Linked DNA regions of Anolis sagrei. The protein of the gene in region 3 purifies or fractionates together with the protein of the main gene of each other region. This does not show direct contact. Links are inferred from orthologs where the notes say so. Each region holds a gene or a part of one and is shown on either strand. Other genes may lie near its edges.

Region 1 (7,093 bases), on a different chromosome or scaffold from region 3:
ACAAAGCAAAGTCAAAACCAAAGAAAACGGAATAGCTTTGAAACATTCAGGGATTATTTTTGGCTGAAGAACAGGCTATAAATGCTTTTAAGAAATGAATAAACAATTGGGTTGTTGTAGGTTTTTCGGGCTATATGGCCATGTTCTAGAAGCAGTCTCTCCTGATGTTTCGCCTGCATCTGTAGCAAGCATCCTCAGAGGTTGTGATTAATTCCATTAGGTGGCCTAAAATGACAGCCATCTATTGTTTATTCGATTGTAAATTCTCACACTTGATTTTAATCTTTAGTAACACACAATATAACACCCTGATATTTATGAGCAACCAACAAATTCTCAATAGGTTTGAGAAGCCGTATTTTAAAAAAGGATGTTATAATTTTTAACAGTTTATAAATGAAGAGGAAGTTATATTCTGAACTGTTAGCAAATTTTGGTGACTTTCCTACTAACCTTCGTCGTGCGTGACTGGAGAGCTTCTTTATATTGTCATCAGGGTCTTGGAAGAAAAACATAGACATATCAATCTCTATAGGAGGCTGATCAAGAGAGTAAGCACAGCTAGAACAACATCAAGAGCTCCTAGCTGAATTCAAGGTTGCATTCACACTGTAGAATTAGTGCAGTCTGACACCACTTTAACTGCTGTGGATCCATGCTATGGGACCATGGGAGCTGTAGTTTCATAAGGTTTTTAGCTTTCTCTGCCAAAAAAGGATGATGCCTCTACAAACCACATATCCCAGGATCCTATGGTGGAATGCACACTCTAAATCCTATACTTTAAAGTGTAGTGTGACAGAGATCTGTGTTTTCCACAAAAGGAGTAGCAGTAGGCCTGCTTTCTCACAGCTGAATAAAATCGCCCATTATCTGCTTTGAACTGGAATATATGGTAGTGTGGACTCAGATAACCCAGTTCAAAGCAGATATTCTGGGTTATCAGCCTTGATATTCTGGGTTATATGGCTATGTGGAAGGGCCCAAGGCAAAATATGCACAAAATCCCAACAAGGACAATGGCAAGATTTCCAGTCTAGAAGAAACATCGAGCCATAAGGATGGCTGCTGCTGCTATCATCATCATCATCATTAGTATTATTTGAAACACAACAAGATGAGTCCACAGCAGACGCAGGCTGTTGCATTGGATCACATGTCGGACACTTCCCAAGTGTCTAGGACTGTGTGATGTATTGGCGAATAATGTGTGCAGATCCCAGTAAGGTGGCCTTTTGCAGCTGGCAGATGGTAATCTTGTCAGCGCCGATTGTGTTTAAGTGCAGGCCAAGGTCTTTAGGCACTGCACCCAGTGTGCCGATCACCACTGGGACCACCTTGACTGGCTTGTGCCAGAGTCTTTGCAGTTCAATTTTTAAATCCTCATATCGTGTCAAGTTTTTTCAGTTGTTTCTCTTCAATCCTGCTGTCACCTGGGATTGCAACATTGACAATCCATACTTTGTTTTTAAACATGATTGTGAGGTCAGGAGTATTGTGCTCCAAAACGCTGTCTGTCTGAATTTGGAAGTCCCAGAGTATATGAAGCTCCTTTTACACTGCCATAAAATCCAGACCATCAAAGCAAAGGCCTGTACATATGTGCAAATGTTTGTGGATTCAGTGTTGTGAGTTTCCCTTTCATTGGCGGTATGATGCTTATTTAGCAGTAACTGTCCTGCCTCCCATATTTATGACCACAATTTGCCTTTCAAGAAAATCTCTCTCCTTGCCCTCCAACTGCCTAATCATCCTCTAAGGTTAGTGAGAATCCAGTGGATGCCCATTCTTCATTTAGACATATCAGAGATAAATGCTTTGATTAGATTGGCCCCTTCTAGACTGCCATGTAATCCAGATTATTAAATGAGATAATCTACATTACCTGTTTGAACTAGATTATATGTCTACACTGTCATATAACCCAGTTCAAAACAGATAATCTTATACGGCAGTATAAAAGGGCTGTAGAAACCAGTCCCATGACTGAACCACTTCAATTTCTCCCTGGAACTCTGTAAAACCCCGTCTACTGCCATATAATCCAGATGAATAAAGCACACAATCCACATTATCTGCTTTAAAGTGGATTATATGAGTCTACACTACCATATAATCCAGGTCCCTTCCCCACTGCCATGTAATTCAGATTATCAAAGCAGATAATCCACGTTACCATCTTTGAAGTGGATTATATGAGTCTACACTTCCATGTAATCCAGGCCCCTTCCACACTGCCATATAATCCAGATTATCAAAGCAGACAAGCCACGTTACCAACTTTGAAGTGGATTATATGAGTCTACACTACCATATAATCCAGGTCCCTTCCACACTGCCATATAATCCAGATTATCAAAGCAGACAATCCACGTTACCAGCTTTGAAGTGGATTATATGAGTCTATACTGCCATATAAACCAGGTCCCTTCCACACTGCCATATAATCCAGATTATCAAAGCAGACAAGCCACATTATCTGCTTTGAACCGGATTATATGAGTCTACACTGCCACAGAATCCAATCCAAAGCAGATAATCTGGATTCTATGGCAGTGCAGTCTCATATAATGAGTCCACTTCCGACCTGACAGAGCACTATATCTCCCACCCAGGATGCGGCTCCTTGAAGGGCCACGCACGGATCAAGGGCCAGGAACCCTGGGAGTTGTGGTTTCACAAGGTCTCCCGCCTTCTCTGCCCAAGAGGGCCGGGGCCTCCCCGCAAAGGGCAACTCCCGGGATGCTGTGGCGAGGGCTGTGCTCTGCCCCTGAGGCCTCGGCCCATCCCGAGGGCTTTCCACGGCCAAGGCAGCCCTGGCCCGACTCACCGGGAGGCAGGAACCCGGCCAGCTCCTCCTCGGCGCCGCGCTGCTTGCGGGCCTTGCGCCCGGGCCCCCGCTTGACCTTCTTCGCCGGGTCCAGTTTGCGCCCCATGCTGCTCAGGCCTCGCTCCCCGAAAGCGCGCACGTGGATTGCAGGCCCGCCTCCTCCTCGGCCACGCGCACTTCCGCCTCAGGAGGAGGCTCTCATTGGCCACGGGGGCGCCTTCCGCTAGAGCTCTCCGCCTTGGGATTGGACAGCGGGTGATACGCTTCTGCGTCCGGAATAGGTTAAAGAGGGTGCGTTCCACTTTAAATCCTGGGGCTTGTGGTCTACGGAGGAACCAGCTAGACTAGCGAGATCTTTTCTTCGCCTCTCTGAACTACAAGTCCCATAATTCTGCAGGAGGCAGCTACAGGATTAAGGTGGTATGCAGTGCTTTGCCTACTCTTTAAAACAAAGTCCTCCAGGTGTTTTGGACTTCGTTGTTGTAAGTTTTTCGGGCTGTATGGCCATGTTCCAGAAGCATTCTCTCCTGACGTTTCGCCCGCATCTGTGGTAGGCATCCTCAAAGATTATGAGGTCTGTTGGAAATTAGGCAAGTGAGGTTTATATATCTATGGAAAGTCTAGGGTGGGAGAAAGGACTCTTCTTTGCTTGAGGCAAGTGTGAATGTTGCAATTGGCCACCTTGATTAGCATTTGATGGCCTAGCAGATTCAAGGTGTAGCTTCTTACTGCCCGGGGGAATCCTTTGTTGAGAGCTGATTAGCTGTCCCAAGCCCCCGGTGGCGAGGTGGGTTAAATCTCTGTGTCGGCAGAACTGAAGACCGACAGGTCGCAGGTTCGAATCCAGGGAGAGGCGGATGAGCTCCCTCTATCAGCTCCAGCTCCTCATGGGGGGACATGAGAGAAGCCTCCCATAAGGATGATAAAACATAAAAAATAATCCGGGCATCCCCTGGGCAACGTCCTTGCAGACGGCCAATTCTCTCACACCAGAAGCGACTTGCAGTTTCTCAAGTCGCTCCTGACACGACCAAAAAAAAGAAAAGCTGTCCCAAGAAACATGAAAGGCAGGGCAGACTCGTTCAATCAGAGAAGCCAGCCATAGCAGAGCACCTGATGAGCCAACCTGGGCACAGCATATTATTTGAGAACACAGAAATGCTGGACCACTCTCACAACCACCATGTCAGACGACACAGAGAAGCCACTGAAATCCACAAGCATGTAGACACATTCAACAGAAAGGAAGAAACCATGAAAATGAACAAAATCTGGCTACCAATATTTTAAAAAAATATCAAAAATCAGGAGAGTAAACAACACTCAAGAACAGAGGAACTCCAGACAAGAAACAATCATGGCTGAAAAGACATGTCCCAAAGTATCCGAAACAGTTTAGAAATATTACAACCATGTTGCTACCTTACGAACTCAGTTGTAGAATATCTCAGTAGTAACATACACGTAGATATAAAAAAGCACTTGGCTAAATATATTTGCATGTTCATACTCTGTATGCTTTGTTTCTGGCTTTTTTTTTTACTCTGTCCTAACAGTAGACTATCCTTTGCAATTTAAACAAGTAGAACAGAGCTTTACAATCTGTGTGTTGTACTGTGTCAACTGGAGTGCATGGGTGTGTTGCGCGAATGTTAACACAAAACCTCTGAGTTTTGTGTTACATTTTTATTTACAAAAATAAAAATATGATGAACCAACCTGGACACAGCATATTGTTTGAGAACACAGAAATGCTGGACCACACCAACAACCACCATGTCAGACTACACATAGAAGCCATTGAAATCCACAAGCATGTGGACAATTTCAACAGAAAGGAGGAAACCATGAAAATGAACAAAATCTGGCTACCAGTATTTAAAAAACTCTAAAATTACAACAGCAAAACAGAGGGGAAACAATCAGGCACATCCAATCACCTCTCAACAAAAGATTGCCCCAGGCACTGCCAGGGCCATCAAATGCTAATCAAGGTGGTCAGTTGAAACATTCACACCTAACTCCAGCAGACAAGAGTTTTTTGTCCTACCCTGGTCATTCCACAGATATATAAATCCATTTTCCTAGTTTCAATAGACCTCACTACCTCTAAGGATGCTTGCCAAAGATGCAGGCAAAACGTCAGGAAAAAAATGCCTCTAGAACATGGCCATATAGTCTGGAAAAACCTACAACAACAAAAAATAAAAATAAACGATTTTCATGAGATATGTTGTGATGCATGTGTAAACAGTGTGTCACCAACATGAAATGGTTGGAAAGCTCTGTAGGCTATTTCTGCCATTTCTGCTTGTCTCACGATTTTACTTGTCTTATAGTAGCTGTTTGGACCTCCAAGACATCAGCAATCCTGCGCTTGTGGTCCTGAGGGACTCAGGCCTGTGCCTAATTTAAGCCTATCTACCCGCCTGCCCACTCCAACCCCAAATTCTTGTTTAAGGAGAAAATGCCCTGGGATATGCAGATTCTAGTGGATAGTAGAACATTAGCTGTGTTATATAGAGCTTCCTAGCGAAGCCATTACTATACTATACTATACTATACTATACTATACTATACAATACACCCAAACTATGTAATGATGGTACAGTTTGGGTGTTGTTATTGTTGGAATGCAACCCCACACTGATCAAGTCTCAAGCCCTCAATGAGGAGAAATTGGTTAGCATTAGAATAGTCTGAGAGTTTTCCTTTCCCCCATGTCTCCTGTATGACAGTTGGGAATGTGTCTGTTTTCATCTCTTCTTTCTGCTCTCATTCTTTAAATTGGATACTTTTCTACTGCAAACCTTTTTGAATCAGACTTCTGCCTTCCTACACTTTAGTATGGAGAGTATGTGCTGTGTGCTTTGAGATCTCTCTCTGCTTGTGTGTCAGGAGAGATGTAATGATTGAGTTTTCTCTTCTGTTGAAATGTTAGAAGAGATGGATGTTGGAGTAGCTCAGACCCAGTTCTTTACCATGAAGAAATATAGGTAGTTCATTATTATCTATATAAATAAAAATGTAATGTTCGTTTGTGGGATTAACAGAACTCGAAAACCACTGGACAAATTGACACCAAATTTGGACACAAGACACCTAACAACCCAATGTATGTCCTTCACTCAAAAAATGATTTTGTCATTTGGGAGTTGTAGTTGCTGGGATGTATAGTTCACCTACAATCAAAGAGCATTCTGAACCCCACCAAGGATGGAATGGAACCAAACTTGGCACATAGTTCTCCCATGTCCAACAGAAAATACTGGAAGGGTTTGGTGGGCAGTGTCCTTTGGTTTTTGGAGTTGTAGTTCACCTACATCCAGAGAGCACTGTGGACTCAAACAATGATGGATCTGGACCAAACTCTACACAAATACTCAATATGCCCAAATGTGAACACTGGTGGAGTTTGGGGAAAATAGAATCTTGACATTTAAGAGTTGTAGTTGCTGAGATTTGTAGTTCACCTACAATCACAGAGCATTCTGAACCCCACCAATGATAACATTGGGCCAAACCTCCCACACAGAACCCCCATGACCACCAGAGTGGGCCACAGCAACGCGTGGCAGGGGACGGCTAGTTGTAAATAAACCTTTTGTGATTTTTTAAAAGATTGGCTCCTAAGCTCTGAATTCTCTACAGCCATATCACTTGGCTTTGCTTGCTAATGAGCTGATGCTCAACTTTTTGTATCCTGATTGTTTTTGGATGCTCTGCTTTATTTCGCATAGTTTTCCCTAACAATTATGATCTTAAAGCAAGTCATCAGTACACAAATGGAATCTTTGAGATTTCATAGATTCACACAATACCATTCTGGGAACAAAAGCATTGCATTAAGTAGCTAAGTACACGTACTTATACATCAGCTTTACCAGTTTGGAAGAGATTCTTGCAAACTTTCCCCACTTCTGACAACAGTAACTCTCAGGCTGATTCATGGCAAAAAAACCACAGCTGAGACTAAAGTACAGAATCAGCAACTGGTGCTCCCTCCCATAGTCTGATAACCATCTGCTTGTATACAAAACGTTTATGGAAAAAACAAAATATATTTGATTAGCCCTTTCAAGAATTAACCTCATAAATCCAAATCAGACTGGAGTTATTATTTGCGATCCTCACAAAACGTGAGAGCTGATCATTTTAACCTAAAAGCAAAGCCTGGCTGCTGCTTGGGTGGTTGCCAGGCTAGAAGGCACTTAACACTGTAAAAATCCCCCAAATAGTTTGACAGAGGCAAATAAAATACAA
Region 2 (7,878 bases), on a different chromosome or scaffold from region 3:
AGATTTGTGAGACTTACCAAAAATCAATCTATGCAGAGTTCTGAACACTCCAAACTGTTAATCACTACTCTTTTGTTGATTTCACCACCACCACCTCCTGCTTTCCACTGCTCTAACACTAGACCAAGCTATGATGACTATGGATGACAAGGCCTACTGTTTAAAATATCTGAAGATCAGCTGCTGGGAATAACAGTGACAGAGGGGCTTGTATCCTGATAGTGTATTATCCTGAGCCATCTGATTTGCCTCAGAGTTAAACAGCATGCATAAAATAAGAAAAAACATGTGGTCCAATCCAGCAAAGCCCTTCCTATTTTATTTTCTCCAGATATGCCACTCCTCATCCTCTCACAACTAGGTTACTCACCAATAATAAGACTGGACACTGGCATAAATTTTGAGGCCACTTGCAACCTGTTGGAAGATGAAACGGAAACAGGTCTCGTTTTGAGAATCCATGAATAAACAACAACATGAAAAAGGCAGAATCTTTTTATTCAACGTTCCTCAAAATCTTGCACATCTCTTAAAACACCGCAGAAATGTGAATGCTAGCACCATATTAATGCATTAATAACTCAGAGATAACTCAACCTCACTACCTCTGAGGATGCTTGCCATAGATGCAGGCGAAACGTCAGGAGAAAATGCCTTTAGAACATAGCCATATAGCCCGAAAAAACCTACAACAACCCAGTGATTCCGGCCATGAAAGCCTTCGACAATACCACTCAGAGATACACAGGCTGCAATAGATTAAAATTAGCCCAAAGCCTATACTATCCACAGAAATATTTCTATGTGGTCAAAACATTCTTCTAATGGCTGATCCTGGGGAACAGCCAAGATAGAATTATTTGCTGGCTAAGATCTGGCAGCAGAGAAGTCAGAATGAAAACAAAGAAGGGCAGAACAAGGGAGAAGTTGCATTATGTCAAAAAACATCTTCAGTTTAGCATTCAGAACAAACTCAGGCCAAAGGTAATTTCTAATATCCATTGACTGAGGGGTTTTATTCAGCACAACTTCAACTAGCTTGTTGTTAACTCAGCTGGTCTTTGGCTATTTAAGATAATATGGAGTCTTGTACATTGCACTGGTACCAATGCCAAATGCGCAGTAATTTGCAATAATAGGGTTCCCTGTTCCCTTTACTGCTCACTAACCATCCTCCAGGAGCAGCACACAGATCCAGAAGTGCCCTGGATTTGGGAAGGAACTGGAATTTTCGGTTCAACTGGATGAGCTTGAAAGATGAACGGGAACGGAATCCTAGAAGAGGGGAAACGAGACACAAACAACAAGTACAATTAGAACTTTAGGACTGCAAGTAAAAAAAGGCCCAACAGCTACTTAATCCAGTGTGTCCCAAAAGTTCTGAGCACTACTTTATGCACTAAAATTATGTTCTGAAAGACTCTGGTGATCCATAAGAGAGCTGAAGCCCAAAGAATTAAAAGAAAATAAAGCCACAAAGTTAGATGTCCTGTATGCGCTTGTATTACAGAACTAATCACCCAGTTCCCTGCTAAATGGCAGTGCCCTAAGAGAGGACATCCTAGGGATCTTCACACTTAATCAGGTTGATACAAGATTGGGTTTTTCAAATAGTCTGGATCAAAGCTACATAGGACTTTACAGGCCATAACCAGCACTTTAAATTGTGGAGCATTTTAATTTTCGGAGAACTGTTATCTTTGTTGTTGATGTGTGCCTTCAAGTTGTTTCTGACTTATGGCTCAGTATTTATGGTTTACATAGGAAAAAAATGTTCAGAGGGGGTTACCCTTTGCTTTCCACTGAAGACGAGATAATGTGACTTGCCAGAGGTCACCCAGTGGGTTTTCACAGTTGAGCAGAGATTCAAATTCCGATCCCCTGGAATCCAAGTTTAACATTCAAACCACTACACCATACTGGACCTCATTATAAAATGATGTACGGAGCCAGATTGGTGTAGTGAGAGATGAGGTTCAAATCCTATTTACTCATAAAACCTGCATGCTGACTTTGAGCTAATCACATTCTCTCAGCTTCAAAGGGTTGCAATGGCAAACTTACGAACAAATCTTGTCCAGAAACAAAAACAATCCTATCTCATCAGCCAAAAGCAGGCCCACGCTTCCCATTGAAATACTAATAAATTTGTTAAAACTGTTCTTCATTATAATTATTGTATTGTTTTTAAGTGGTTTTTGCACTACAAATAAGATATGTGTAGTGTGCATAGGAATTTGTTCTTTTTTTCCTCCAAATTATAATCCGGCCCTCCAACAGTTTGAGGGGCTGTCACCTGGACCTCTGTTTAAAAAGTTTGAGGACCCTTGATCTATACTGTAGAATGTAGTTTGGCACTACTTATGGAATCACAGGAGTTATGGTTTTACAAGGTCTTGAGCCTTCCCTGCTAACGAATCCTGGTGCCTCACTAAACAACAACTCCCACAATTCTGTAGCACTGGGCCATGGCAGTTAAAGTCGTGACTGTGAGAGCCATTCAGCAGTGGAACTCTCTGCCCCGGAGTGTGGTGGAGGCCCCTTCTTTGGAAGCTTTTAAACAGGGGTTGGATGGCCATCTGTCAGGGGTGATTTGAATGCAATATTCCTGCTTCTTGGCAGGGGGTTGGACTGGATGACCCATGAGGTCTCTTCCAACTCTTTGATTCTAAGAAACTGCATTAATTCGACAGTGTAGATGCAGCCCTGAAAATCAAGGCTTAATGTTTCATCCTCTATGGAGAATGGGCTTTCTCTCCACCTAAAAGCTATCAATTGAGCCTCTAACCCCCAAAGAAAGGAAACGTGGCTTCTTGACATAATACCAGAAATGCTCCCAATCCCATATCCTCACCTGTTTCCTTGGCCAAGTGATAGAACTTGTCCCTTCGGCTCTTTCCTACTTTGCCCTTCTTCCCCATCTTGGCAGAGGAATCAGCCTCAAACGCTGAAGATCTACCACCAGGCTAGCACGTGGGTAAAACTTCCTATGATCCTTCTCCCGATCCGTAGGCTTGCCTCTTCCTGGTTACAAACGTCACTGCCTCTGTAGTCATATTGAGTGTGGCAGATATCTCTTTCCTTCCCCCCTCCCTTTCCGGTTTTTAACCTCAATCCCAACCGCAGGGACAGACAGACATGCAGAATCACATAGTTAAGAATTCTAAAAATACTGGTGTCTTATTGCACTATTCCATCAGCGTCTTCTCAGTTAAAAGGTGCCTTTAAAGAAAATACCCTACCAAGATGGCGGCGGTAGAACGCCAATACTTGCTTGTCATGTAAACGTCCGGCCTTAATACGCATGCGCAGTAGTTTTGCAACCAAAACAAAGAGACAATATTTATAGACACTATACTTCCGGTTCCCAATCATAAAAGGCTAGACTGCCTAAAATGCACAATCATAGAATCATAGAATCAAAGAGTTGGAAGAGACCTCATGGGCCATCCAGTCCAACCCCCTGCCAAGAAGCAGGAATATTGCATTCAAATCACCCCTGACAGATGGCCATCCAGCCTCTGTTTAAAAGCTTCCAAAGAAGGAGCCTCCACCACACTCCGGGCAGAGAGTTCCACTGCTGAACGGCTCTTACAGTCAGGAAGTTCTTCCTCATGTTCAGGTGAAATCTCCTCTCTTGTAGTTTGAAGCCATTGTTCCGCGTCCTAGTCTCCAAGGAAGCAGAAAACAAGCTTGCTCCCTCCTCCCTGTGGCTTCCTCTCACATATTTATACATGGCTATCATATCCCCTCTCAGTCTTCTCTTCTTCAGGCTAAACATGCCCAGCTCCTTAAGCCGCTCCTCATAGGGCTTGGTCTCCAGACCCTTGATCATTTTAGTCGCCCTCCTTTGGACATATTCCAGCTTGTCAATGTCTCTCTTGAATTGTGGTGCCCAGAATTGGACACAATATTCCAGATGTGGTCTAACCAAAGCAGAATAGAGGGGTAGCATTACTTTCCTAGATCTAGACACTATGCCCCTATTGATGCAGGCCAAAATCCCATTGGCTTTTTTTGCCGCCGCATCACATTGTTGGCTCATGTTTAACTTGTTGTCCACAAGGACTCCAAGATCTTTTTCACACGTACTGCTCTCAAGCCAGTCATCCCCCATTCTGTATCTTTGATACCACAAGATACCATTAGACCTTAGAAGCAAAGCAGGATTAGCCATGGTCAGTACCTGGAATATTTATTTATTTATTTATGTCAGAGCGGTTTCAAGATATGCAATACATTATGCCAGGGGTCCGCAAACTAAGGCCCGGGGGCCAGATATGGCCCTCCAAGGTCATTTACCCGGCCCTCGCTCAGGGTCAATCTAATTCTGAAATGACTTGGAAAGCACACAACAACAACAACAATCCTATATCATCAGCCAAAAACAGAGACCACCTGCTGCAATGCAACCTGAGCCCTGCTACATGCACAATGGAGGACCTTCTTGCAGCAACACCAGAGGCACTCCAAGTGGCCAGATACTGGTCAAAGGACATTTAATCAACTACCAAGCTTGCAAACTTTGTGTTTTGTCTGTCTGTCTGTTTTTTTTCTGTTCTGTTAGAAATGTAATACAATGGTCTGGTTGCCTATGACAAGATAAATAATAAATAAATATCAGCCAAAAGCAGGCCCACACTTCCCATTGAAATACTAATAAGTTTATATTCGTTAAAATTGTTCTTCATTTTAATTATTATATTGTTTTTAAGTGGGGTTTTTTGCACTACAAATAAAATATGTGCAGTGTGCATAGGAATTCATGTTTTTTCAAATTATAGTCCAACCCTCCAACAGTTTGAGGGACTGTGACTTAGTCCTCTGTTTAAAAAGTTTGAGGACCCCTGCATTATACCATTAGCACAGTACAATATCAGTGCTATACATCACTATATTGTACTATACAATTATATTGTAATATTATTAGTAATAGCACATGTAATATAAAATATATAATTCTAATATCATATCATTATTATTAGTATTATACTGTATTACATTATAATATTATAAATATTATATGTATATACAATATATTATATCATATTATATTATATACTAGCTGTCCCCTGCCATGCGTTGCTGTGGCCCAGCCTGGTGATCTGGAAAATAAAGAAATGAGAAAGTGTTGGTTTCTAATATATGTAATTCCTTTATGCTTGTGAGTAAACAGTATTTCTTGTTGTTTCTTTGTCAGTGTTGATGTGGAGAGTGTCTGGTTTGCCTACTCTAGAATATGCAACATATCATAGTCCTTCTTTAAGGGTCTCTTTCAAATCTATGATACTATATCTGTGTGTGAGAGAGAGAATCATATCTATCTATCTATATTTATGACTGGATGGCTCTTTGTCAGGAGGACTCTGATTACATTTTCTTGCCCTGGTGAAGAGAGTTGGACTGGATGGCCTAAAGCAGTGGTTCTCAACCTGGGGTCCCCAGATGTTTTTGGCCTTCAATTCCCATAAATCCTAACAGCTGGTAAACTGGCTAGGATTTCTGGGGGTTGTAGGAAAAACATCTGGGGACCCCAGGTTGAGAACCACTGGCCTAAAGTATTTTCTGTTGGTCATGGGGGTTCTGTGTGGGAAGTTTGCCCCATTTCTGTCGTTTGTGGGTTCCAGAATGCTCTTTAATTGTAGTGAACTATAAATCCCAGTAACTACAAATCCCAAATGTCAAGGTCTATTTCCTCCAAACTCCATCTGTGTTCATATTTAGGCATATGGAATATTCGTGCCAAGTTTGGTCCAGATCCATCATTGTTTGAGTCCACAGTGCTCTCTGGATGTGGGTGAACTATAATTCCCAAACTAAAGGTCAATGCCCACCAAACCCTTCCAGTGTGTTCTGTTGGTCATGGAAGTCCTGTATGCCATGTTTGGTTGAATTCCATCATTGGTGGAGTTCAGAATGCTCTTTGATTGTAGGTAAACTATAAATCCCAGCAACAACAATTCCCAAATGACAAAATCATATATTTTTTTTAGTGGAGGACATAAATTGGACTGTTAGGTGTCTTGTGTCCAAATTTGATGTCAATTCCCCCAGTGGTTTTTGAGTTCTGATGGTAGCACGAACTAACATTACATTTTTATTTATATAGATTAGCATAGCACAGGAGACAAGGTGGAACTGTCCCCTGGCCTCCTCTGTCTTCACTCTGGCTCAGAGCAGTGGTTGATGCTGGGGGGAGGGGTCTCCAACTGATGACATATGCAGGAGACAAGATGGAACTGTCCCCTGGCCTCCTTTGTACTCACTCCTAGCGGCGGTTGGTGGGGGGGGGGGGGGGGAGAGGGGTCTCCAACTGATGACATATCCAGGAGACAAGAATACAAGGAATACCGGGAGTTGAAGGCTACATTTCAGAGGAAGCAGCAGATGATTCCATGCCTAAGAAAATGTGTCCAGAGGAGGGCGCCTAAAATGATCAAGGGTCTGGAGACTTGTTTTTCCAGTTTGAAGGCCACATTCCAGATACTGTGTTTTGGGTATGTTCAGTTGAAGTCAATATTCACTATCACTGAATGTCTGCTGCTGTCGTTGGAGGGCTGCACGCTTTTGGTGGCTGAGTGCTATGTTATCTGCATATAGGATTGTCTAGGGATGCATAGTCTGCAAATCTGCTGTAGCAGTATCAATGCAGAGTATGAATAGTAATGGTGAGAGTACTGATCCCTGATGCATGCTAACAGTGATGTTGAAGGGTGGTGAAATCTCCTCAGGACAGCGGACCATACTTGTATTATTGTATAGTAGCTTTATCCATGTTACATAGTCTTCTGGTATTCTTTGTGACTGTAGTGCTCGCCAGATACACACACATACACACCCCACTCCTCTGAGGATGATTGCCATAGATGCAGGTGAAAGGTCAGGAGATAATGCTTCTAGAACTTGGCCATATAGCTTATAGACCGAAAAACCGACAACAACCCAGTGATTCCAGCCATGAAAGCCTTCAACAATACTATATATATATATATATATATATATATATCTCCCTGTTGTTGTTTTTTTTCTTTTTGTCGTGTCAGGAGCGACTTAAGAAACTGCAAGTTGCTTCTGGTGTGAGAGAATTGGCCGCCTGCAAGGACGTTGCCCAGGGGATGCCAGGATGATTTGATGTTTTTATCATCCGTGTGGGAGGCTTCTCTCATCCGCCTCTCCCCTGTGATAACTTTCGTAAATAAAACAAAATCGTAAATAATATATATATTTATGTAATATTACTAATAATGTTACAATATAACGGTATAGTACAATATAGTAATATTTAATACTGATGTTTACTATGCTAATAATATAATATATTGTATGTATATATCTCTTGTAAGCTGCTCTGAATCCCCTTTGTAAAGAAATAAATTAAGTAAATATATCTTTCAAAAGAATTGCAAGATGAATGAGATGGATTGGGAAAAAAATCATAATCAAGGGACAGAAAAAAGAAAGATGCCACTCTATAAAAAGAGAGAAAGGTTAATAATACACACACACACAAATAATAATAAAAATGAAGAACTGCTATGAACAAGAATGGAAATCAAAATCACACTTTTTTTCTTTTTATTCTACCTTTAGATTTATATATATAATATTTTCTTTTCTCTCTCTTTTCTTCTTTTCTACTATCCTATCAGTGCATTGTTCCCCCACTTTCCATGTGAAAACACATACTTTCTATATTTTTTCTCTTTTTCTTTTTTCTTTTTACATTCAACTAGAAAAAAAAGTCAATATAATATTGCTGTTATTTATTGATTGTTTCAGAAGCAAATTGATAGCAACACATCCGGGCATCCCCTGGGCAATGTCTGATTCTCTCACACCAGAAGCAACTTCCACTATACTATTGCTGTTGAAATTATA
Region 3 (7,803 bases):
TTTGAAGCCAGCCCGTGTCGGAGTGAGCTTCCGACCAAATTTGTGTAGCTTGTCAATTTTGCAGCCCAAAAGACAGTTGCATCTGTCAAGTAGGAAATGTGAGTACCACTTTGTGGGGAGGCTAATTTAACTAATTTATGAGGCCATAAAAATCTCCACCAAGGACGCGGAGAATGAAGAAGTACTTCATTGGTGTCGTGGATGGACGGTGAAGTGACAGCTCCCCTGGGGGCCAGAAAAAGTTGGAATGTTAAATAGCCTCTGACTGTCTGTCTATGGCATTGAATGTTTGCCATGTATATGTACATTGTAATCCACCCAGAGTCCCCTGCAGGGTGAGAAGGGCGGAATATAAATACTGTAAATAAATAACAAAAGTCACAGTTTTACAAGGTCTTTAAAATGTCTCTGATATAAAATTACTATTGCTGCTCTGGCTTGCAGGTGCTGTTGGCTTGTTGGTATCATTAGTTATGTAATACTCTTTTAATTCTATTTCAAATGATTTTTGGTTTCTGTAAATTGATTTCTATGTCAATTTTTTTTTGTGTCGAGTTGAGTTACTTGATAGCTAAGTTTAATTTGACTGTAGATATTGGTTCACTTGGGACTTGGTCAGGCTGTTATTGTACAGGGTTAGTCAAAATGAATAGGCCAATAAGAAAATTAATTGTACCCGAATTGGCCTATTCATTTTGACTAACCCTGTACTTGTATTTGAATTTATGGTCATGTGAAGGCACTGAAATTTTGCCTTTTTGTTTGTTGGAATCTGTCCTGAATCCCCTTGGGGAGATAAGAGTTTTATTATTATTATTATTATTATTTGAAACACAACAAGATGAGCTCACAGCAGACAAGATCACTCTGCTGGCTGTTGTATTGGATCACACATCGGACACTTCCCAAGTGTCTAGGATTGTGTGATATATTGGCGAATAATGTGTGCAGATCCCAGTAAGGTGACATTCTGCAGCTAGCAGATGGTAATTTTGTCAGTGTCGATTGTGTTTAAATGCATGCCAAGGTCTTTAGGCACTGCACCCAGTGTGCCAATCACCACTGGAACCACCTTTACTGGTTTGTACCAGAGTCTTTGCAGTTCGATCTTTAAATCCTCATATCGTGTCAGTTTTTCCAGTTGTTTCTCTTCAATCCTGCTGTCACATCGACAATCCGTACTTTGTTTTTTAACATGATCGTGAGGTCAGAAGTATTGTGCTCCAAAACTCTGTCTGTCTGAATTTGGAAGTTCCAGAGTAGTTTGACATGTTCATTTTCTGTAACTTTTTTCCAGATTATGATTCCACCAGTTCTTTGTTGCAGGCAAATGGTATTTGTGGTATTATTATTATTATTTAATCTGCTAAAGATTGCTGGTGCCTTGCCAAACTACAACTCTCATGAGCCACGGCTCTTAATGTGGGCAAGTCAATGAGATGTGGAAAAAAATATATTAATGTATGAAAACGAATTCAAGAGGACTAATAAGGACAGGGCTAACACATAAATATATCTGTTTATCCTTCCAATGAATTATGCTGGGGGAAATGGAAGGAAAAAGGAAGAGGGGTCGACCAAGGGCAAGATGGATGGATGGTATCCTTGAAGTGACTGGACTGACCTTGAATGAGCTGGGGGTGGTGACGACCGACAGGGAGCTCTGGCATGGACTGGTCCATGAAGTCACGAAGAGTCAGAAACAACGTAACGAATGAACAACAACAGCCTTCCAATAATCAGCATAGCACCCCTAATATCTGGGCCCCCCTGGTGGTGCAGCAGATTAAACCGCCAAGCTGCTGAACTTGCTGACCAAAAGGTTGGCAGTTTGAATGCGGGTGAGCTTCTGCTGTTAGCCCCAGCTTTTGCCAAGCTAGCAGTTCAAAAAGATGCAAATTGCACCACAATTCAAGAGAGATATTGACAAACTGGGATGTGTCCAGAGGAGGGCGACTAAAATGATCAAGGGTCTGAAGAACAAGCCCTATGAGGAGCAGCTTAAAGAGCTGGGCATGTTTAGCCTGAAGAAGAGAAGGCTGAGATGAGACATGATAATAATGTATAAATACGTGAGAAGAAGTCACAGGGATGAGGGAGCAAGCTTGTTTTCTGCATCCTTGGACACTAGGACGTGAAACAATGGCTTCAAACTACGAGAGGAGATTCCATCTGAACATGAGGAAGAACTTCCTGACTGTGAGAGCTGTTCAGCAGTGGAACTCTCTGCCCCGGAGTGTGGTGGAGGCTCCTTCTTTGGAAGCTTTTAAACAGAGGCTGGATGGCCATCTGTCAGGGGTGCTTTGAATGCAATATTCCTGCTTCTTGGCAGGGGGTTGGACTGGATGGCCCATGAGGTCTCTTCCAACTCTTTGATTCTATAGCAGATCAATAGGTAGCATTTCAGTGGGAAGGCAATGGCACTCCATGCAGTCATGCTGGCCGCATGACCTTGGAGGTGTCTACGGACGACGCCGGCTCTTCAGCTTAGAAATGGAGATGAGCACAAACCCCAAGAGTCAGACACTATAATGTCAGGGGAAACCTTTGCCTTTACCTATTTATTTGTCGTGTCAGATCAACCAGTCAATTATATTACATTTCTAACAGAACAAAGCAAACAGACAAAATACAATACCTTTACCTTACCTACCCCTAATAGCTGCTAAACTGTACATGGGTTTGGGTCAACTTGGGCCCTTTAGGTGTTCTGGACTCCAACTACCGGCTGTTAGGAATTGTAGGAGTTGGGAGTCCCAAACACCTGCGCATGCGCAGTGCAGCGGCACCCTAAGAGACTCTGGTGGCGCTTCCCCCTCCTTCTCTCTCACCTTGCCTTTCCGCACGCGCTGCACCTCAGCCTGGAACTCTTGCTGTCGGTCCAGGTCCAAGGAAAGGAGCGGGGCCGCCTGTCTGGCCTTGGCTTTCGCCTTCGCCGCGGAAGAGCCTTCTGTTACCGCCGCCATGGCGCCTCCGCAGCAGGAAAAGGGGCCGCCTCTGCCTCACACGGCGTGTGGCTGCCAAGAAACGGAAGCCTCCTCTCGTCACTTCCGCTTGGCTGGCTTGGTGCCACAGTAGGAACAAGGACGGCAGAACAGCGGCCCCTGCTGGCTGGGGGCGGAAGTACTGGATGAGGAGTGACTCCAGTGATATTCACAAATGCAAAGACAGCCAGACCTCCATATCCTCGCATTCTATATAATATAATATAATATAATATAATATAATATAATATAATATAATATAATATAATATAATATAATATAATATAATATAATATAATATAATAATCATCATTGTATATCATAGGATATACGTGTGTGTGTGTTTAAATTTGGGTCCCATATACATTTCTCTCTCTCTCTCTCTCTCTCTCTCTCTGAAGAGCAACCTTTGATTTTGCCATTTTACAGAAAGGTCAACATTTTACTATGTTGTTGGGCCCTGTTCCATTATCATCACTGTATATCACATGAGATATGTATGAACTTGGATCCTATATATATATATATATAATCATAGAATCAAAAAGTTGATCATACAGTATTGGATAATCAAGAAAGGTATTTTATGCAAGGCTGCACTTAGAATCAAAGACTTGGAAGAGACCTCATGGGCCATCCGGTCCAACCCTCTGCCAAGAAGCAGGAATATTGCATTCAAATCACCCCCGACAAATGGCCATCCAGCCTATGATTAAAAGCTTCCAAAGAAGGAGCCTCTACTACACTCCAGGGCAGAGAGTTCCACTGCTGAACAGCTCTCACAGTCAGGAAGTTCTTCCTCATTTTCAGATTGAATCTCCTCTCTTGTAGTTTGAAGCCATTGTTCCGTTGCGTCCTAGTCTCCAAGGAAGCAGGAAACAAGCTTGCTCCCTCCTCCCTGTGGCTTCCTCTCACATATTTATACATGGCTATCATATCTCCTCTCAGCCTTCTCTTCTTCAGGCTAAACATGCCCAGCTCCTTAAGCCGCTTCTCATAGGGCTTGGCTAGTGTATGTATGTATGTATATATATATATATATATATATATATATATATATATATATATATATATACTAGCCATCCCCTGCCATGCGTTGCTGTGGCCCACATGGGGGTTCTGTGTGGGCGGTTTGGCCCAATTCTATTGTTGGTGGGATTCAGAAGGCACTGTGATTGTAGATGAACTATAAATCCCAGCAACTACAACTCCCAAATGTCAAGATTCTGTTTTCCCCAAACTCCACCAGTGTTCACATTTGGTTATATTGAGTATTCTTGTAGAGTTTGGTCCAGATCCATCATTGTTTGAGTCCACAGTGCTCTATGGATGTAGGTGAACTACAACTCCCAAACTCAAGGTCAATGTCCAGCAAACCCTTCCAATATTTTCTGTTGGTCATGGGAGTTCTGTGTACCAAGTTTGGTTCAATTCCATTGTTGGTGGAGTTCAGAATGCTCTTTGATTGTAGGTGAACTATAAATCCCAGCAACTACAACTCCCAAATGACAAAATCATAATTTTTTGAGTGATGGTCACTCCTTGTGTTGTGAGACGTTTTGTTGCCAAATTTGGTGTGATTTCATTCATTGGTTCTTTTGTATATATATAGATAGATATAGAAGATAGATAGATTAATTAATTAATTAATAAATTAAATAAAAATATTAATAAAAATAAATTAAAATAATTAAAATAAAAAATAAAACAGATTAAACTCCCAAGCAAAACATGCAGAAATCCAATGCTCTCCCTTGACTAGACTTTTCCCTCTGTGCTGATCTTCCCACCAAAACTACTACAAGGCAACCAAACTTGAATCTTCTCCTCCCATTGGAGGGACACAAACCCTATGATACCTACTAGGCAAAACGAAAGCCAATCAGGAGAGCCCTTTGCAGTTGGCTCCTCCAGCGATAGGCGGGCTTTGGAACAGCGGCGGGCTGCCGATTGGTGGAGAGAGGGAGAGGAGGCGGGCCTTAGCGAGGTAGAACGGGAGAAAGGGATCCCGCCGCGCGCTGTGAAGAGAAGCAGAGCGGAGCCTCGGTTGCAGCCATGAGCGGCGGGGTCTACGGAGGAGGTGAGCGGAGGGCTTGGCGCATGCGCGAGATGGGAAAGCCAGGCGGGGCTGCGGCGCCTTTAAGACCGAAGGGAAGGGGACTCTCCTTTGAATGACTCTGGAGTGGAAAGCAGGCTAGACTCTCTGAAGTTGCAGCTAGACCAGGCCTGGGCCAACTTGGGCCCTCCAGGGGTTTTGGACTACAACTCCCACAATTCCTAACAGCCGGTAGGCTGTTAGGAATTGTGGGAGTTGTAGTCCAAAACCCCTGGAGGGCCCAAGTTGGCCCAGGCCTGCCTGATCAGAAATACAAGCTGATGGCTTTGCTGACATCTTCCAAACTAGCTCTCACTCCTTGATGGATTGTCACTTTGTTGTGTTTGGAGACTTGTTAGGAGACTTGTTGTGGTTAGGAGACTTGTGTCTTCCAGGCCTCTGTAACTTCAATGTATTTTGCCCATAAACTTACTTATTTATTTGTTTATTTATTTATGATATTTCTACCCCGCCTTTCTCGAATCCGAAGGTGACTCAAGGCGGCTTTTCAACATCAATCCAGACAAGACAGAGGTCCTCCTGGTCAGACGCAAGGCCAAACAGGGCATAGGGTTACACTCCCCCTTTTATTTTGTCGTGTCAGGAGCGACACAAGAGACTGCAAGTCGCTTCTGGTGTGAGAGAATTGGCCGTCTGCAAGGGTGTTGCCCAGGGGACGCCCAGATGGTGCAGGTTTGCAGCTTGGGAGTCATCCTGGATTCATCGTTGAGCCTGGAACACCAGGTTTCGGCGGTGACCAGGAGAGCTTTTCCCGTACCTTGGGAAGTCTGACTTGGCCACGGTGGTCCAAGATCTACAAGCCACTCTAAATACCTTTGCAGAAGCGTACACGAAACTTGGCCCGTCACTGAACATCGAGAAAACCAAAGTGCTGTTCTAGCAGTCACCAGCCATCCCCTCTCCAATGCCAGAGATACAATGGTGCAACATTAGAAAATGTTGACCATTTCCGCTACCTTGGCAGCCACCTCTCCACCAAAGTCAACATCGACACCGAAATACAACACCACCTGAGCTCTATGAGTGCAGCATTTTCCCGAATGAAGCAGAGAGTGTTTGAGAACCAGGACATCCGTAGGGATACCAAGGTGATTGTCTATAAAGCTATTGTCCTCCCAACCCTGCTATATGCCTGTGAGACGTGGACTGTCTACAGACGTCACATGCAACTCCTGGGAAGACAAGCAGACAAACGTCAGTGTGCTGGAAGAAGCAAAGACCACCAGCATTGAAGTGATGGTCCTCTGCCATCAACTCTGCTGGACCGGCTACGTTGTCTGGATGCCTGACCACCGTCTCCCAAGGCAGTTGCTGTACTCTGAACTTAAGAATAGAAAACGGAACGTTGATGGACAGGAAAAGAGATTTAAAGATGGGCTCAAAGCCAACCTTAAAAACTGTGGCATAGACACCGAGAACTGGAAAGACCTGTCCCTTGACCGCTCCAGCTGGAGGTCAGCTGTGACCAGCAGTGCTGCAGAATTTGAAGAGGCAGGAATGGGGGGCGAAAGAGAGAAACGTGCCAGGAGAAAGGTGCGTCAAGCCAACCCCGACCAAGACCGCCTTCCACCTGGAAACCAATGCCCTCACTGCGGGAGAAGATGCAGATCAAGAATTGGGCTCCACAGTCACCTATGGACCCACCAGAATACTGAGCCTGGAAGACTATCCTACTCGGCAGCCAGTGGAGATGGTGTAACAAGGGCGTTGTGCACTGCCTGTACCCAGCCCCAGTGAGCAACCTGGCTACTGAACGTTGGACTAGTTGAGGCTTCCGGGCAGTCTTCCGGGTTGCCTCTGAAGACTGCCCGGAAACTGCAATAAGTCCAACGCTCGGCAGCCAGGCTACGGACAGGAGCGGGGTACAGGGAGCACACAACTCCTCTGTTGCGCCAGCTCCACAGGCTGTCAATTACCTTCCAAGCACAATTCAAAGTGCTGGTTTTAACCTACAAAACCAGATACGGTTTCGGTCCAGTTTACCTGTCCGAACGTATTCTCCCCTATGAACCATCAAGGCTGTTAAGATCTTCCAGAGGGGCTCTGCTCTCAGTTCCACCACTTTTGCAATTGTGTCTGGTGGGGACGAGAGACCGGGCCTTTTCCATGGTGGCCCCTCGGCTATGGAACTCTCTCCCAAATGAGATTAGATCTGCCCCCTCTCTCCTTACCTTCAGGAAGCTAGTGAAATCCTGGCTATGGATTGAAGCTTTCCCAGAATAATGGCTGAGACCGGCAACAGACTAAAGTTATTGACATATGCGGACTAAGTTGGACATGATTTTACCTTGGTGAACTGGCTTATATGTATTTTACTTTATATGTATTTTAATCTACTGTTGTATGATGTTTTAAACTGTGTTGTGGCATTGTGAGCCGGTCTGAGTCCCTCTGTGGAGGTTGAGAAGATCGGGATATAAAAGTTTTGAATAAATAATAAATAAATAAACTTATTTGCCTCATAAGATTTTGTTTTTGTTTAATCAAAGTTATCCAGAGTCTATATTTGTGTTTGCAGATGAAGTTGGAGCTCTGGTCTTTGATATCGGGTCTTACACTGTGAGAGCTGGCTATGCTGGAGAAGACTGCCCAAAGGTAAGAACAAAAGTGGGCTGTTATTACCTGGTAACAATGGCATCGTCTACACTGCCATATAATCAAAGCAGATTATCTGGATTTTATATGGCAGTGTAGTAAGAGCCA

Evidence for each region. The genes of interacting proteins can lie anywhere in the genome.
Region 1: the proteins of NIFK (region 3) and NOP2 fractionate together in Homo sapiens (co-fractionation; 3 studies listed by BioGRID, with this or other methods). This does not show direct contact. The link is inferred for Anolis sagrei from reciprocal best matches to the Homo sapiens genes NIFK and NOP2.
Region 2: the proteins of NIFK (region 3) and FTSJ3 fractionate together in Homo sapiens (co-fractionation; 3 studies listed by BioGRID, with this or other methods). This does not show direct contact. The link is inferred for Anolis sagrei from reciprocal best matches to the Homo sapiens genes NIFK and FTSJ3.

What each region holds. Positions count from the first base shown.
Region 1 is NC_090022.1:197,352,303-197,359,395, forward strand, and holds the start of NOP2 (28S rRNA (cytosine(4447)-C(5))-methyltransferase), read right to left. Parts: upstream 3,015-7,093; 5' UTR 2,937-3,014; coding exon 2,831-2,936; intron 500-2,830; coding exon 454-499; intron 1-453. UniProt on the Homo sapiens protein: S-adenosyl-L-methionine-dependent methyltransferase that specifically methylates the C(5) position of cytosine 4447 in 28S rRNA. Required for efficient rRNA processing and 60S ribosomal subunit biogenesis.
Region 2 is NC_090026.1:37,882,587-37,890,464, forward strand, and holds the start of FTSJ3 (pre-rRNA 2'-O-ribose RNA methyltransferase FTSJ3), read right to left. Parts: upstream 3,015-7,878; 5' UTR 2,922-3,014; coding exon 2,855-2,921; intron 1,276-2,854; coding exon 1,170-1,275; intron 418-1,169; coding exon 371-417; intron 1-370.
Region 3 is NC_090023.1:257,608,491-257,616,293, forward strand, and holds the start of NIFK (MKI67 FHA domain-interacting nucleolar phosphoprotein), read right to left. Parts: upstream 3,004-7,803; 5' UTR 2,967-3,003; coding exon 2,832-2,966; intron 1-2,831. Other genes in the region: ACTL6A (actin-like protein 6A), read left to right, coding at 5,040-5,064, 7,619-7,695.